Arabidopsis thaliana: one gene and its partner. The protein of the gene in region 1 interacts with the protein of each later gene in a pairwise test. Each region holds a gene or a part of one and is shown on either strand. Other genes may lie near its edges. The genes, in order: AT2G04830 and AT4G14815.

Evidence for each region.
Region 2: the proteins of AT2G04830 (region 1) and AT4G14815 interact in a protein complementation assay, tested with the Arabidopsis thaliana proteins (one large-scale study listed by BioGRID).

What each region holds. Positions count from the first base shown.
Region 1 is NC_003071.7:1,693,183-1,696,520, reverse strand, and holds AT2G04830 (F-box only protein (DUF295)), read right to left. Parts: upstream 1,167-3,338; 5' UTR 1,091-1,166; coding exon 788-1,090; 3' UTR 665-787; downstream 1-664.
Region 2 is NC_003075.7:8,503,245-8,506,761, reverse strand, and holds AT4G14815 (Bifunctional inhibitor/lipid-transfer protein/seed storage 2S albumin superfamily protein), read right to left. Parts: upstream 1,720-3,517; 5' UTR 1,641-1,719; coding exon 1,328-1,640; intron 1,244-1,327; coding exon 1,217-1,243; intron 1,133-1,216; coding exon 1,002-1,132; 3' UTR 810-1,001; downstream 1-809. Other genes in the region: AT4G14810 (uncharacterized protein), read right to left, coding at 2,253-2,417, 2,522-2,617.

The DNA of each region.
Region 1 (3,338 bases):
AACAATCAGAACATGGTTACGAGAGCTAGTGGAGTGAGGGCTGACTGGCTGAGTTGTGTTGGACCAAAATTTTACTTAAGCTAATGGGCTTAATTAAATTAAAGAAATGGGTTTAAGAGATGGTCTAGCTCACGTTGGAGCTTTGGTGGTTGTCGGGTCGGGTCTTGAAAAGAGGAAACAAGTCGCTCTGTACTCCACGTTGCTAAAGAACAGGTCTTCTTCGCTTCCTCAACTCCTTAAAAATAGGAGTCGTTGAAGTATCAAGTCACCCACTACCTCCTATATTTTTGTTTGACATGGTTTTGATTTTGCGAAGAAACAAATTAAAACCTAAGTATATCAAACCTATAGAAGAAGGTTACAGTTCAAGTTTTTGTGGACACTAGCAGAGCACCACTTGAACGTTCACACATATTTTGAAAGTAAAACATCTCCAACAACCTCTCTATGTCTTAAACTCGAGAGTATCGTAGAAACTATGTTTGTTAGAACTGTGTTTTCGAGTGTTGCAAAACCAGTTTATAGAGGTTGTATCCTGGGATCCTTAAATAACCAGAACTGCTCTATAACTTTCACGTAAGAGTAGAAAGACCACATAGATCATAATTTTTTGTAATGAATTTTCTATTAAATTCTTTCGAATGAGCACTAACATCAAAACCATGGTAACATTTATACATATATAGAATTCAAAAATCAATTGATTGAATAACACTAGAATTATAGGGAAACTTGAATTCATTAAAAACAAAATATAAGAATACTCCTACACTCCATAGCCTCCTCTCTAATAAGCAACTCCCCAAACAAACCACTGAGTTTTATTAACGGAAAAATAGATCTTCTTAGGCCATTCGATCTTACTTGTGGCAATATCGAAGACACCGCAATTCGATACATGATCTTTATAATCTGGCCAATCTTTATGATCTGGCCAAACATCTTCGTCGTCGACGAAATAGATTGAATCACTCTTGATTCCGTGACCAAGATCTTTAAGAGCGAGAGGTACTGTAACCCCACGACCAAAAATCAACATCTCATCTCCAATAGAGTAAACTCTTTCCCACTTGTAACTCTCAAGATTCATCTTAAAGATGTAAAACAAAAGTTTCTCTTCATTTTTCACTATTTCCTTTAAGCTCAAGACTATAAGTACTTCTCCTGATCTCTGAATCGCTATTTTCCTCCCCCAAACGGATTCCGAAGGCTCCCCAACGAAGTTATTCTCCTGAATCGCTATTCTCCTGACCTCTCGTCATGGCATTCTAGGCTTGGTCATCCATCTTTACCAATTCTTAATTCTGTTGTCTCTCAATTTTCGTTACCACTTTCAAATTCCCAGCAAAAACAATGGTCGTGTTCCGATTGTCTTATCAATAAAAGTCACAAATTACCTCCACTCAACCTCTTGAATATCTTTATACCGATGTGTGGTCTTCTCCCATTATGTCAATGGATTCCTACAAGTATTATCTGGTAATTGTCGATCACTTTACTAGATATACATGGTTATATCCACTGAAGCAAAAATCGGAAGTCAAAGAAGTGTTTGTTGCTTTCAAGGCATTAGTGGAAAACCGGTTTCAGTGTAGAATCCGCACCCTATATTCTGATAATGGTGGTGAATTTGTGGCCATGCGATCGTTTTTGACAACACACGGCATCTCTCATCTTACAACACCACCACACACTCCCGAACACAACGGGATATCGGAGAGAAAGCATCGCCATATTGTTGAGACTGGCCTTACTCTTCTCAGTCATGCCTCTGTTCCGAAATCATATTGGCCTTGATAGAGATCGCCCCACACATGTCTGCCGCTTGAACAAAGCTCTCTATGGTCTAAAACAGGCGCCTCGGGCATGGTATCAAGAACTCCGAAATTATCTCCTTGCTGCTGGCTTTACGAACTCCTTGGCTGACACATCGTTATTCATTTACAAGCGGGCAAATTCATATCTTTATGTCTTGGTGTATGTCGATGACATAATCATTACCGGAGATGCTTCGCTTGTCAAAAACTTTAATGTTTCTCTTGCAGATCGATTCTCCTTAAAGGATCTTGGTGCATTGAGCTATTTCTTGGGTATTGAGGCAACACGCACTAAGAAAGGCCTACACTTGATGCAAAGGAAATATATAACAGATCTTTTGGCTAAGACGCACATGCTAGATGCAAAACCAATCTCTACGCCAATGGCTACAACACCGAAGCTTTCACTACACTCTGGTACGATTCTCGACGATGCCAAAGAATACCGCATGATTATTGGGAGTCTTCAATATTTGTCTTTCACTCGCCCAGACATTGCTTTCGTGGTGAATCGTCTCTCCCAGTTCATGCATAAACCAACCGATGAACATTGGCAGGCCGCAAAACGAGTTTTGCGATATCTTGCGGGAACGAAATCACATGGTATTTTCCTTCGATCTGATGCTCCACTCACAGTTCATTCGTTTTCAGATGCGGATTGGGCAGGAGATCTCGGAGACGGCCTCTCGACCAATGCATATATTGTTTACTTTGGTGGCAGTCCCATTTCTTGGTCATCAAAGAAACAACGAAGATTCTCGCGGTCATCTACGGAGGCCGAATACCGTGCAGTAGCCAACACTGCCTCCGAACTTCAGTGGATATGTTCTCTCCTCTCAGAAATGGGGATCTCCTTACCTGTGGCACCAGTTGTTTACTGTGACAACATGGGTGCTACTTATCTTTGCGCCAATCCGGTGTTCCATTCAAAAATGAAACATGTAGCTCTTGATTATCACTTTGTTAGAGGTAACATTCAGACTGGAGCTCTTCGCGTTTCTCATCTCTCAACAAAAGATCAATTAGCCGATGCACTCACCAAACCGCTTCATCGGCCACGATTCCAAGAGCTCAATTACAAGATTGGAGTCAAGGAACTGCCTCCATCTTGAGGGGGTGTGTAAAGGAGAAGTGTAGATTAAGGACATAAGTGTAATTAGTTATGCATTAAGCCCTAATGTGGAACCTATATATATTGTAAATCATTCTATTAATGAATTCATTCTGCTCACAATTATAAACGGATGATTCGAATACGGGTTTTCTTCCTCTATAGGGGAACCTTCAGAGAAATAAAAACTCTTGATGTAATAATCACTTGTGAACAGATAAAGCTTACTCTTCTCACAAGCCATATCCAAAACATCCATATTTTTTCCATTGAGATTCATATTAAACCAGAAACCATTTCCTTTCTTGTGTGAGAACAAGTACTTTTGTTTGAATGTCCAAGCAACAACATAATCTCTTGTTGTCTCGTTTATCCACAAAACAGCTAACGAGTTTTTCCAATAATCTGTC
Region 2 (3,517 bases), on another chromosome or scaffold:
TAATTGGCTCCATGTTCTAAAGGGACATGAGGTTGTGATTTGTGGAAATGGAGACAAAGGTGGTCTTGTTCAAGGGTCCCCTTCTACCATTATTTGACCTTCATTTCATGCACATATCAATTAATATTTAGTATAACTTGCGAACAAAAACTACAAATTCATTATCACAAAACAATACTACATTCTATAAAAAAACTGATGACTTGTCTTCTAAACAAGTCTATAAGAATCACTAAATTTAATAAAGTTTGCAGAATTTTTCTGTCAATCTCACATTTAAATTAGTGAATCACTAGTTTGATTAAGAAAAGTAGGTGTTAGTTAATTTCCATTATCATTGTTGCTTTGACTTCTCTAGACATTTGTTTGACTCTTGCTAGAAACTGTCTTCCAGATTTCAGCCAGCATATAAATGTTTGTCTATAGCTTTCACAACATATGTTCTGGAATATTAAAAGAGAAATACCAAAACGATTTACAAGTATGCAACTTAAAAATAGAGAAATTTTTGAGAAAGGCGATAATTCCCTTCGTAAAATTACCGGCAAAAGAAAAAGTGGATAGAGACGCGACACTCTGCGCAAAAGTTTATGGTGAACATTGAGCAATAACATTTAGGGTAACAGACAAAGCTCATATTTAGAAACTGTGACTAAAATGGCAACAATACATGTGTTTGTGATAGCAATCGTACTCCTTCTACAATACATGTGTTAGTGATAACAATAGTACTCCCTCTAAATTTTAAGTGATGTTTAGACATATGTTAGTGATAACAATACATATATATATCATGTATTTCAAATATGTCCTAGCTAGAAAATAATGTTTATTGCATAAATCAAAGATATACAATCACACTCTTTGGACTACAAACCAATATCACCTAGAAAGTAGGGATTTAGAGCACAAAATACTTCAGCACAATACACCGCGATTTAATAGAGACTAAAAATGAATATGTTCTTCAAAGAGGCCAAAAGCTTTATTGGTAAAATAAGTCAGTATTTTGCGTAGATTAATGTAATGTAAGAAGCTGTGAATAGGATGGCGAGAAGAGGGAATGAGAACTTAATAGAACCATCAGATGATGACTTTTCTCTTGGGACTGTTTTTGATCCATTTCCATGTTCTGTTCATAGAGATAATGTCAAAAAAGGATAATGTCAAAATAGATATGATTAGATTAGGTTCTATTTATAAGTTAGTCCTTTACCTGAATGTGAATTAACCGAAGAACCACCTGAAAATAATAAAGTTCTGATGTGTGAGAGAAAAAAGATAGCAAAAATATGAATCTAATGCATGGAAAGTGAGTTTATTTTACTATGGCAGCGACTAGCAGGAGGAGTTTCAACATGACAAGCTTTAGGCAAAGCAAGAGCTTGTGTCTCATTAACATTGATCCCAAGCTGAGAACCTCCACCATCGAGAACCTGACACAAACACTCAGAAGAATACCGGACAACATGAGCCAACTGGTTACAACATTGTTGAGACGGGAGAGAAGTGTTTTGAGTGATGAAGCTGAGACACGGCGCCATGCTGATTAGAACATTTGTGCAACTCGACTGAGCAGAAACAATCGACATTACTCTCATTAAAGCAATAAACAAGATTAAACACATTCTAGGTTTCATGTTTTTCTTGTGTTCCAAGAATCTCTCAAGATTTTTTTTTAATTTAGTTGTTTGATCGCTTAATGGTTTGTGTTGGAGTCTTTTCTTTTGTGGTTACGTAAATAAATAAGAAGTTGAGGCCGCAGAAAAAGACGAAAATAAGGATGTGGCTCAATTTGCATGACCAACTTTTGCAACACCTTATGGTGAAGTTTGTGAAAGAATATGATTACGTTTGGTTTAAGGATATGTTTGTTGAATTATTTTTTGTGATTATATAAAGTTTTTGAGTTTCACCTGATTGAAATTTGATTGCTGACCTTTTCAATGAAAAAAACAAGAAAAAAAATAAGATACGTAGATAAATTTGTAGAAACCATTAAAATTATAAGCAACACCAAACACTTACTTGTGAATTGTTCATTTTAATATGGTTGTTTGAGTTTATTGGTTTAATTTGTGTTGGAGTCTTTTTGGGAGTTCGTAAATAAATAGAAACTGATATATGTCGCATAAAAAAAAAAAACAAAAAGAAGGATGTCAGGATGTGGCTTAATCTGCATGATCTAACTTCTCTATTTGATAAAGAGCATGACCAACTTTTGCAATATAAATATGGTAAAGTTTGCGTTCTTATTCAGAAACTGAGATTCCGATATGCTCCACCATACGTAAACCATTATTAGCCAACACTTCACGATCTTCACGACCACCGAAAAACAAAACCACGACAAGAAAAAACATCTTCTGACGAAACTTAACTCGAACCACCGAGTCCACGGTCAACGAATATTCAAACTAAGCAAAGAGCCTTCAAGAAAAATTCTTCAAGATATCAGATATTTCACGAAGATATCTGCATAACAGCTACGAGGAAATTGTGATTTTATCGTTTCACAAACATCAACAGCTCCATGGATCGTTATGGACGGATAAATCACAATCACTATCCTTTTTCTAGCAGCTGTTGAGCAGGTTTCTTCGTGAATATCTGGCATTTTGGTGGATTTTACAGTTTCACAAGCATCAACAGTTCCATGGATAATTATAACGGTTTCACAAGTCTATGTTTGTTCGTTTTTTCTTTTTTTTAATTGTCTATGTTTGTTATGTTCTCTAAATTTATATTGATTCTCTAAATTTATATTGAGTTCAGTATGTTTGGAAGCACATGAGAACGTTCTTTTGATGATATTATTACCAGTATTCTATATTGGGTCATTCATAGTATTACTATTCCATACATTTCCTATTTGTTGTGGGCTGGTTATTCGTCAGCACCGATTTAGCTTACGATGTGTTCGGGAGCCCTCGTCCAAACGAATATCAACTAAATAAGTAATTAACTTTCCCACTTAAACTTTGAATGGATGCGGCGGACAAAAAGGTCTAATTTTTCTGCAGTTTAATCCATTTTATTTTTGGGCGGACAATAAATCGGTGCGTACCAAATTTATTTGTATATAAAAACGGTTTGCTGCGGTTTTTCTTTTTTTTTGGTCCGAACTACTGCGGACTATAATTGATGAATGGTAAATAAAAAGCGGTATGATCTGTTGAAGGTTTTGTTCGCCTCAACCGCCGTAACCATTAGATTTTTATTTATCCTCTTTAAAAAACAGAAGTATAAAATTTCAAAGTCAACTAAACTATAAAATGTCAAAAACATAAACTGTGGGCTTTGATATTCAATCTAAAAGCCCAAACGAAACTAATCTTCACCCACGTGGACGGACCTTAGTGGCCAGTCACTACCAACTCAGCATCACCCGAAAATATCAATATAGGGGCAAATTAGTAACTTCGTTATCAAACCTCCACAACTGTTTATTTCCCGCCACCATCGTCATACAATCTCAGTTATCGCTACGAATCAGCCATAAGTGTGAAATCTCTGT